2 linked regions of the Drosophila melanogaster genome follow. The gene in region 2 interacts genetically with the main gene of each other region. Each region holds a gene or a part of one and is shown on either strand. Other genes may lie near its edges. The genes, in order: wor and SoxN.

Evidence for each region.
Region 1: of SoxN (region 2) and wor, changing one enhances a phenotype caused by changing the other (phenotypic enhancement), as found in Drosophila melanogaster (one study listed by BioGRID).

What each region holds. Positions count from the first base shown.
Region 1 is NT_033779.5:15,422,561-15,427,423, forward strand, and holds wor (worniu), read right to left. Parts: upstream 3,021-4,863; 5' UTR 2,871-3,020; coding exon 2,783-2,870; intron 2,721-2,782; coding exon 1,162-2,720; 3' UTR 737-1,161; downstream 1-736.
Region 2 is NT_033779.5:8,823,813-8,830,307, reverse strand, and holds SoxN (SoxNeuro), read right to left. Parts: upstream 4,664-6,495; 5' UTR 3,815-4,663; coding exon 2,096-3,814; coding exon of another isoform or gene 1,529-2,095; 3' UTR 638-1,528; downstream 1-637.

The sequences.
Region 1 (4,863 bases), 6.6 Mb from region 2:
ATAAAGTAAGGTGCGGCTGGGCTGTAGAGCGGAAAAGCGGCGCAACTGAAAAACGCGTTTAATTGAGCTTACCTGCCTGCAACCTGGCTGCCCACTAGCGCCATCTAGCTGCGTGCGGCTGCACCAAAAGCCGGCTTTGTTGATTTTTTCAGTTTGCCACGAACAGAAGAAAAAAAAAAACCGAAAACAAAATCGATGATTCATCGCTTGGTTTGTTGTTTTGAGTGGATTTCGCCAACTGCAGCAGGCCCACAAAAATACTAGACTGTTGGCGCTTGCCGCCTGCTGCTGTTGTTGATGTTGCTAGTTGCAGTGTTGCTGGTTGACGGTGACGCAGTCGCAGTTGCAGTTGCAATTGCAGCTGCGCCAATTCTCCTCTGGTTTGCCGTTTGCATTTCGGCGCTTTACGTTCAAAACAATTATTATTCTGGCAATTAATTTTGATTTAAGCAGCGATTTTCAATACATTTCTATACATACATATAAACGGCTTCATATGTATAGACTGCTTTCCTAGCTCTTTGTAACCCCCCATCGAGTCTCCCTGACGGTTGAATGTCTCGATTTCTGTGGATTTTCATTTCGAGTGCAGCGATAAATAAACGACACCTACAATGCATATCCGAGATGGCATCTTTTAGATTGCGATGCGATTCGAACCGTTCGTCCGATAGGTAAAGTAATAGAATGAGGGAAATTAATTTGTTTACCTCAACTCAAAAAAACTAAATGTGTTGGTGGTTTCTGTTTTCTTGTGTTTTATTTATTTAAAAAAATTAAAATTAAATACATGCAAGTAAATGGCTACCTTCACCATATTTACAAGGCTTAAATCATAATGTTTAAGGTAAAATAAATTATAAGATTAAATTATAAGTTGGTAGGTATGTCGTATGAATTGGGGCTTAATTATCTGGCACCTTTTTGATTTGTACACGAATGAGTTTTAACAACGAACTATAATACAAGGAATTGTCAACGAAAACAATCTAATGCTAAGCTCTCAACTGCGATATGAGTTTTGGAATAATTTAGCGATAACTCTAAATAAATATTTCTGATAAACTAGAGACCCTAAGAGGCAATAAAATTGCCCTGACTAATTTTTGGCACTGACTTTTCCCTGAATCTGACTTCTGACTTTGGCTAAACTGACTAAGATTAATAAATGGCCGGTGGTTGCATTTGGTATTCCCCGCCCTCCTCCTCTTCACCATTACTGCTGCCCACACTGCCGGCGTAGTAGAGTTGGTGTGGATTGTGTCCCTCCTCGTAGACCTGGAGGTGCTGCTGTAGCTGCTGCTGATCAAAGCCCCCTCCTGACCCACTGGGACCTCCACTCTGCTCAGTCTGGCAACCGCTTTGCAGGTGCTTGGCCAGCAGGGACATACGCGAGAAGGACTTGGTGCAGGTGGGGCACGAGTACTTCTTCACATCCGAATGGGTTTGCATGTGCGCGCGGAGATTTGACCTATCCGCGAAGGCCCGATTGCAGTGTTGGCAACTGAAGGGCTTCTCTCCCGTGTGGGTGCGTATGTGACCCTGGAGGAGCCATGGTCGCGAAAACGCCTTGCCGCAGATGGGACACTTGCAGGGCAGGGTATGCGTGCGAATGTGCATCTTCAGGGCGCCCAAGGACACATAGGTCTTGTCGCAGTTCTTGCAGCTGAAGACCTTCTTCACCTGATTGCCCTCGGCCGACGGACAATGGAACTGCTGGTGCTTAGAGAGTCCCGAGTAGGTGGAGTAGCTCTTTCCGCAATCCTGGCAATGGTATCGCGGCACTCCCACTGGCTTTTGCATGCTCTGTGCTGAGGCTACATTAGCTGCCTGAATCAAAGCCGAAGCTTGATCCGTGCAAAACTCGGTTTGGTCGACTATCGCACCTGATCCTCCAGGCTGGCTTCTAATGATCTTGTACTCGGTGCTTTCGTAGGCGTGCGTTTGTTGATGCTTTACCAATCCTGCATAGGTGGCATAGCACTTGTTGCACTGCTGGCACTGGTAGTACAGATCATTGCTGCTCTTGATCTTCAGCTGGTTGATGTCCTGATTCTCCTGATCCTCTTCCATGTCTATCGGAGGCGGCGCATGTTGCGGAGCCATGTGTTGCATGCTCAGCAAAGCTCTGGCCACATTCTGCAGATTCATGTTTTCGCTCAGCACTCTCCTCTGGGTTACGGATAGGTCCTCCGGTTCGGCCAGTGGAGTCGGGGGTGGATAGAACAACTGGGGTGATGGAATCGGAGGTATCTCCTCTTTGATGTTCTGCATTTTCATACAGTCCTCATACTCGGCTATGCTTTTGAGTAGGTTGTTATTGTAGTTTCGCAGGGGAAATTGTTCCTCATCAGAGGGTTCAGCCTTGATGATGGTTGGGCTAGCATCTCTTGTATATCGAAGAGGCAGATGCTGTTCTGGTTCCGGCTCCGGCTCCATTACTTCCTCCTCAGGTGGCAACTCGAACTCGCCGTAACCCAGGCGAGCAAGACTCTTGGCGATTTCCTCCCGGGTGAAGACATCCGGAAAAGCGCGGGCTATCTCACGGGTTTCCTCCCAAATGCGACGGGCCAACTGCTCCTTGGTCTGATTCATGGCTGCATCGAAGCGGCGCCTCAATTCCGTGGGCACCGGCTGAGGTTCCGGTTCGGATTTAGCCATCCAATGGGGCTCCATAGGCACTGCAGCCGAGGCCACACTCAAGTCCACTGGTCCTTCATCTGTTGAAATCAGCATAAAGTTAAAATATGCCTGTAAATCACTTCCGTAGCCTTAAACCTACCATGACTTAGGTGATCCTCTGGGCTGGACTCCTCCACCATTATCGGACGCTTCTTGAGCGGGCAGCGGCTGTACTTGAGTTTATCCATGGTTGCTATGTTATTATTCCTTATGGTTACTGATCACTGATCTTCGATTTTGTATTTAATACCGATCCTTGAACTTAAATCACTGCTCACTCATTTGCTTTCGCCACACGCGTCTCGATCGCTTGGAGTTCCTTGCTCGAATGATGCAACCCGGCAAGGATCAGTCCGGTTTTATAGACTCCCGATCAACCCCCTGGCAGGATGATCAACCCCCTGGGCAAAAAGGATCTTGGCGTCTACCTACTTCCGATGTCGCCCGGGATTCTGTAAATCCACCCCGAACCACGAGCCAAAAGATCCATTCAGCGATCGAGCCACAGCTGTGCGTTCATTGAACGCAGATACAGCTGCAGATCGGGCAGTCCGGGGGTACCACTGCCATATAGAGAATCGTTGAGAGAGGGAGGGACCTGGAGACGAGAGGAACAAATCTGTGTGTAAAAAGCGAGCACGTGCCACAGGGACTCTCTCCGTTCCACTCGCCGATCGCCACCAGCTGCCTCTCTGGTTCAGCTCGTATTTCCCCTGAATTTCAATGGTATGAGTGAGCGGCAGCTGGTGGCGAGCTTGCTATTGCTATATACCCGATCAAGTTTATTTATAAGCCTCTTTCGGGTCCGCCTCACACGATCGCTTTGTATATAAGCCTAATGGACGTTTGCTCTTCGTGAGCAGGTGAGCATGCTCTTTGGAGCCCCACCAAGAGAAGTTTCGTACCCCACAATTTTCAACTCTCTTCGCTCTTTGGGGCGCTCTTGTTCCAACTGTCAGTCGTCCCACGAACTTAAGAGATAGCTTTCTGTGCTATTCGGAGGATAATTCAGCTGTGTTTTCTTAAGCTTCTTATTATGTTTACTATTCAAATTTTTCTGAGCTGAGCTTAAACGATCACATATTCGGCTGACTTTGCTGATCGGAGAGTGTGAAGATTTTTCAGGGGCTCGACTTAGGAAATTATGCCCAAATATTTAAATACCATAATAATTAAAACGTTCTCAATTAAAATCATTAAGATAGAAGATATTACAATAAAGGTACAGGAAAGTTGTTCTATTTTCTCTTTCAAAGCTTTTCATTTGTTGTATAAAATCGCACGCTGTTACAGAAGAAAAGAAGCACTTAGGATTCCAATTGATCCTTATCGGAGCGATCCTCTCCGGCTGGCAGCTGAGTAGGATCAGCACGTGACATTGGCTCCGCCATTAAATCGAGCCAAGCTACAATGCAATGTACCCACTTAGACGTCCACAAAAATATTAATCACCAGGACAAACAGCGCGCAGATCTAAGGTAAATCAACCTTTCCCAGAGTATTGTTCCGGTTCTCCGCCTCCTCGTGTATCGGTGCACTCGGCAGAAATAACCCCCTAACGGCCATGAAATTTCAATTCCCGATATTAAAGAATCCCGCCATCTGCCAGCGACCTCCAATCCACCCCAAAATGGGCATGTGCCCGGACAGTTACCTGGCTTTATTTTTCCGAACGGAGCTGAGTGCCTTGGAATGCGCCAAAAGAGAGAGGTTCGTGCAAATCTACCTGGCGCAGTGGTCCCACCCCAAAATCCACGGCATCACCAGACAACCTTCGTCGGAATAAAGCCGGTGATGGTGGTGGAATTGCAGTTTTGGACGTTACTTTCTAGCCAACCCCTCGTCGAGCGTCTTGCAAGGAGAGTCGCACCCCCCGATCATCATCTATTCCCACATCTGCCGACTGTGACACGTACCACAAGGAACTGATTTCGTCTTGGAACTGATTATTCCATGCCACGGGTATTTGGCGCCAAAATCCTGTAACGAACTCAGCTGGCCGGGATGTGTTGTGATCCTTGTAACAATAGGAAATGTTCTCTGATGGTACATTGAAAAGTGATTTTTGAATTATAATTAACTGGAATTGAGAAACTATTAATCGGTCTTTGATGCTTCGTTGGCTCATCTTTTATAATGAAATTTTAATTCAGGGTAAGCAAATTATGCCTTCAATACTCT
Region 2 (6,495 bases):
CACCGTCGCGACAGCCGAGTGATTGGACAATCTGGGTCTGGTGAGCGGCTCTGAAAATATGGCATATGATATATATCGCATTATCAAAATTCCTAATAATTGTATTTCAACCTTGATGCATGATCGGTGGAATTAGTTTGGACGGTGTTGGCTACAAAGCGTCGCCTTCCGGTCACGAAAATTGCAGTTACTCATTGACAAAATGCACTTAAATAAATATTGAAATGCCAGATTGCAGCATGCGATTCACATGAAGTTCCCAAATAATTGCCATGGCTGGATTTTATAAATGTAGATGGCATACCATTTTTATGGGAATCTCATCTCATGTTTTGTTCTAATTTGTCAGGGTTTGTTTAATGACATTTTTATTTATGTTGACAATGCGTGAATTTCATTTGATTTTTACTACTCTAATCGCTTTTGTCTAAGGAATTACGCATCCCACTTAAAAATGGGGGGAGCTATAAAATCCAAACTGGAATTTAAGCCATCTGACACATTGCTGAACCTGCATATCGATTCGGTATGCAAAATTCACGGATCCTCCCATTTTGCCGACGGCAAATAGTAAAAATGTAGCGAGATGTTTTTGTAAAGATTTTTCTTTTATTTGTTTTTTTTTCGTGGATTTTTTGTGGATTTTGTTTTTATTATTTCCAGGTGCTTGGCAATGTTTTGTTGGATTTGTTTGTTTTCGCTGCCTTGCGCCATGTTTCACAATCACGTTTGCACGCTGCTTCTTGGTTTGTTTTTACTAAATTTGCTTTAGGTTTACTAACATTTTCTCTGGTTGTGTTTGTATTATGCAGTAGATGCTTGCCTTCGATTCGATTTATGTTTTAATAATAATAATAATTTTGTTTTCGCTTTATTACAATTAATTATGGTTGTCTTGTCTGGTATTTGTAAGCATAATTAATAATTAAATTGTTTATATAATAGATAATAATTATAATTACTTAATGCATAAGAGAATTTATAAAATAGAATGTTTTTTGACATTTTTCTTTGCTTTTCTGAAATATTTTCATCGCCTCGCCACAACTGCCTTTACTCCTACTAAACTTGTGCTTGATTCCGCGTCCCGTTGCTCCCTTCAATTGAACGCACATTTAATGTCTGAGAATGTTTTGTACAGCAAAAGGTGAGTGGAAATGAAATGCTAAACCAAACGAATTTGTTGTTGTTGCCGTTGTCCCCGTAATTGGCAACAGTTTATTTGTATCACACAATTGTTTTAGCTATGCAACAAGCGGGAAATCAAGGGAAATCGAAGCAGAACGGTATGGAATGCAAGTGAGTTGTCATCTTACTATTGTGGTACAACAGTGCGTATGCATCATTTAAATGACTAAACATTAATCCTATTCTCATTTATTTATATGCGCATGTGTTACTCTGCCACTTCGAAATTCGAATTAAACCTGCTTAAGAACTAAGGCTAAAATTGTGTCTGTGTGTGTGTGGCTGTGGTTGTGGGCGTGGGTGTGCGTATCCTAGGGCTTTAGTTAATATTTTCAATAATTTACAATGTGGATATATCCAGGAGGCCAGCACTGGCAGCCACCGCTGCCTCGTGGCCAGGATGATAGTGATGGTACAGCTGGTGTTGCTGCTGCTGCGGGAGGTGCTGCAGCTGCTGCTGTTGCTGCTGCTGCTGCTGGTAGTGTTGCTGTTGCTGCTGCTGGTAGTGCAGGTGGTGGTGCTGCTGCTGCTCCTCGAGATGCTGCTGTTGCATGTCCAGCATGCTGGCCGAGGCGGCAAAGGAGCTGCCTGCAGCCGCAGCAGCAGCAACGGCAGCAGCAGTTGCCGCCGCAGCAGCAGCCGAAGTGGCGGAGGAGGTGGCAGCGGAGGGGGTCAGCTGGTAGGCGGCTGCCAAGGCGGGTGAATGCGCGGCGGTATGGCCACTGGAATGCGCCGAGGAGCGGCCGCCCGACGACCCCGATGCCGTCGGACTAGGCCGTCCGTTGAGCAACTGTTGCTGCTGTTGTTGCTGCTGCTGCTGTTGCTGCGGGGCCGTCGGCATGTACGGCGGCAGTGGAGGCGAAACGCTCACACTGGAGCCTGCTGCTCCATAGGCGCTGGCCATTTCTCACATGTGTGCCAGCGGCGCCATCGCCCTCAGCGATTGCTGATGCTGCAGGTGGTGTTGCTGCTGCTGCTGCTGCATGGTATGGTGTTGCTGCGGGATCTGTTGGTGCTGCTGCGAAAGGTGTTGCTGCGGGAGGTGCTGCTGCTGCTGTTGCATCGACTGGTGCTGCTGCTGCAGATCGGGCGAGTCAGTCTGATAGTGCAGCAGGTGGCGCTGCTCATCCGGCAGATGGTACATATTCATCAGGTGATTCAGCTCGCCGCCGCCGGCGGCTGCTGCCGCTGCTGCTGCTGCTGCTGCCGCCGCTGCAGAGCTGTATTCCCGCTTCATGATGTGATTGTTGTTGATGTTGTTGTTGTTGTTGAGCGCTATGGCACTGGGACTGGGCGACACCGGTTCGGACTTGATGCTCGAGTCGCTGGGGCTGTGGCTCTGGCAGGAAACCTGACCGCCACCGCCTCCACCTCCGCCGTACGGAGTCGGACTGCCGGGCTGCTGCTGCAAGCTACTGCCGCCATACGGCGACGGTGATCCGGGCTGCTGGAGACTGCTGCCGTACGGCGATGTCTGTCCGCCGGACACCGTCTGGTACATCGCATACCCGTTGTTGTACATGTGTCCCATGTCGTACCGCTGCGCCGCGTAGTGCTGGCCCATGTAGGAGGTCTGATAGGCTGCCGCTCCGGCCGGATCTGCGTGCATCATGTAGCCATTGGGCATGTATCCATTGGGCGCGTTCATCTGGTACATATCCTGGCGCGCCTGTTGCGCTGCCGCTGCTGCCGCCGCCGCTGCCGCTGCTGCACTGCCTCCACTACCGTTTAGCGACTGGTTCTGGCCAGGCTGACCTTGCACCCGCGTGGGCGTCACCGGCTCACCCGGTGCTCCGCCGCCCACCGTCTGTCCGGGCATCAGGCCGCCCATTGGGTACTTCTCCTTGGTCTTGGTCAGCGTTTTAGTCTTGCGGCGCGGCCGGTACTTGTAGTCCGGATGCTCCTTCATGTGCACCGCCCTCAGGCGCTTGGCCTCGTCGATGAACGGTCGCTTCTCCGATTCCGAGAGGTCCTTCCACTGGGCGCCCAGTCGCTTCGAGATCTCCGAGTTGTGCATCTTGGGGTTGTCCGAGGCCATCTTCCTCCGCTGGCCCCGTGACCAAACCATGAACGCATTCATAGGCCGCTTCACACGATCCGCGTGCTGTTGGTTCTTGTTGGCCGTGGCGCTGTTGTTGTTGTTGTTGCTGGATCCTCCAGTTAGGCTGCTCAATGCAGATCCCGCGCCCAGATGCTGCTGCTGCCCGTGCTGCTGCTGTTGCGTGTGCTGCTGGTGGCTGACCGGCGATGTCATGTGATGGCTTCCGATGCTGCTCTGGGTGGGACTCAATTCGCTGGAGCTGTGCAGCGGGGAGCTCTGCTGCTGCTGCTGTTGCTGCTGCTGCTGCCCCACCTGGCTGCCATTGAGGGTGTTCGCCATCGAGGACTGCAGCGAGCTCAGCGGATTGGGACTCTGGCTGGCCGCGATATGGGCGCTCATGTGGTGATGATGGTGGTTGTGATGGCTCAGCTGCGAGTGGGTCAGGTGCGACTGGCCCAGGTTCATAAGGGGAGCTAGGGCGGAGTACGGCGATGCCGCATGTCCGTGCAACGCGGCACTTGTGTGATGCGGCGGCATGGTGGCATGCAGCAGGCTGCCTTTCATATCCGATTCCATGGTCAGCATCTTGCGGGGATTACTTCCAGTTTTCGGTGCGATAAAGCTGATTTGACTCAAAGTTGGTTCTCCGTGGATACTCGCCTCTAAGATGCAGTTACTCTTTAGCTTTAGTTTACTCTTTGCTTAGTTAGACATTTTGAACATTTTTTGGGAAACCATGTTGCACTTGTGATTTTTGAGATTTTGATTTTCGCTGCAGTTTTTATTTCGTAGTTTTTCGTATCTTTACGCGTATCAAAAATGTGGCGCTCGGCTATCTTTGGATTTGTAGCTAAACAGCTTGAATTGCGTTTTTTCCACAGTCACAAATATCAGATATACATATATGTTGTTTGCTAGCAAACAAACAAGAGGCGGCGTAAAACACTTGAAAATTGTTGCTAAAACCCGACGCGAAATTGCCTCAGAATATTGTTGTTGTTTGTATTAGATTTTGTTGTAAATATATTTGGTTTGGTTTGGTTGTTGTTTTTTTTTTTCGTATGCGAGAAGCGGGAACACCGAAAAAATACCTCCACACTGGGCGGAATTGAGCACCTTTCTGTTTCTCCGGACGACGGCGAAACCTGTTCGAGGTGCGTTCTACGCTGCTTTTTCCCTGGCTGTATGATGACTTTTTTTTCTTTCTTTCGTATCACCGCTTTTTGGCTAGCTGATGACGAGGCACGAACCAGAACCACCGATGCGATGCGATGCGAAACGATACGGATACGATACGACACGAAACCGAATTCGAGACAGCGAACAACCGAGTTGATGTTGCTGCGTGATGTTGCTGCTGATGGCGTGCTGCGACTGCCGTGCGGTACGTTGCGTGCGCGTGTGCTGACGACGGCGAATGCGAGAGTCGAATGAGAGACCGTCTGCCGCTGGCCGCTCGAGGAGGCGGTAAATGCGGTGCGGTCCGCCAGACAGGGTGGCTGGAAAAACTGGTCTTGAGTCGCGAGTAGCTGTGTGTGCGTCGCTGCTGTCCAAGTGTGCGTCGGCATTTCCATTGCCCGTCGCCTGTGCGGGAGCGAGATGAATATACGAGTGGCTGGCCTGCTAATAAATCAAATAAACTCGCTGCTGTGCATGTGTGCATCTGTGTGCGGTGAGCGCTGGCTGGGTTGGATTTTGCGCACACTGCTCCGCCAATCAGAGGACGGTGAGAGCGGTACGAATGTATCTTTATCTCGTTCCGTCACTATATCGATCCGCGTTGCGCTCAACGCTGCCATAAAAATGTCGTCTCTGCGTTTATGGCAAGCGCTGTTGCCGCTTTTCCGCTGCCGAAAGAGACTCTGAAGGAATTTCTCGTATAAATTTCGAGCTTTAAACATGGCCGAAACGCTATGGACGGGGGGAGCTGGAGCGGGCCATGGGTACTCTCAACCCAGTCCAGGGATCCAGGGACCCAGGGGCCTTAGTGTTTGCGGCGTTTTCGCCGTTAGAGCGCGTCTCACGCGCATAGTTTTTCCTGGTTTCCTTTTTTATTTTTTTTTTTGGCCCTGCTATATGTACATACAAAAAGATATATAATATAGATATATATATATATATATGTATGTATAGTCACTCTGCGTCTTACGCTGCGCTTCTTATTAACCTAATGGGTTTGCCAAGGTAGCTCACGAATAATTGTGTAGGCAGGCAGTCGGCAGATGGAAAAATTTATTAAGCAAGTGCAGCTGCAAATGTATCCTGCTCTCGCGGTAGTCGGCAGTTGTATCTCAGAACTTTGATGCGGTTTGGCTTACACGTATCACGTATCCGCCACATGAGCCAGCCCGTCCTACGGCATTGTCTTAGGGCACCATCTGCCCCACCACGACACCCCCCTTTAATTTACCACCCCGCGATGAATGCGTTTTTCCTCAGCTGACTCTGGTATTCCGTTTTTTGGGTTGCCCATGAGTAAATGTTGGGCTCTTTTTTTTTGTGCGACTTTTAGCAGTGCAAAGTGATTGGATTGCAGTTCTCAGCTGGTGAGAACTACTCACCAACTTGCAGTGCAGGTGGAAGTCGATTAATTGAAGATTTTTTGCACACTCGAAGAGCAAAACCAAGATTTATGGGCTTTTCTAAAAGTTATATTAATTATAAATTGTGTGTTAAATAAAAAAAATACCATTGTGGCTAAAATAAAACATACTTTTGCATCCGTAAACTACGAATAATATAGAAGACCATTTTTGTTCTTGAATAAATAAAATACAAATTATATGAAAAACTGCATTTCCTCGATAAATAATATATATACATTTTCTCCCTTTAAAGCACAATCAAAATTTCTTTTGTACAACTCCTTAAGCATCGTCTCCAAATTTCCTGCAAAGTCATCAAACACTTGAATCGAGCTACTAACCCATTAAAAATGTATAATGCAAACAAAGCCGATATGTGGGCTCGTCGGCTTAATGAATTTATGGCCAATTGCTAAACATTTGACAATGGAGCGAAAACACTGGGGCAAGCGGGCACAATAATAAAGGCAAGACCGGCAAACAATGCAAAACCTGCCCCAGTAACTGACCTACAACAACGCAACATCATAACATCAAAAACAACAAGAACGCAAATCTTAACCGCAAAAAGTTGGCCAAAGAAAAGGAATAAGTCAAAGTCGTTGTTGATTCTATGGGGGCTATTGTGTAATTTCAAATACAAAATGCAGAAAAAGAAATACAATTCTGTTCGGTTCATTA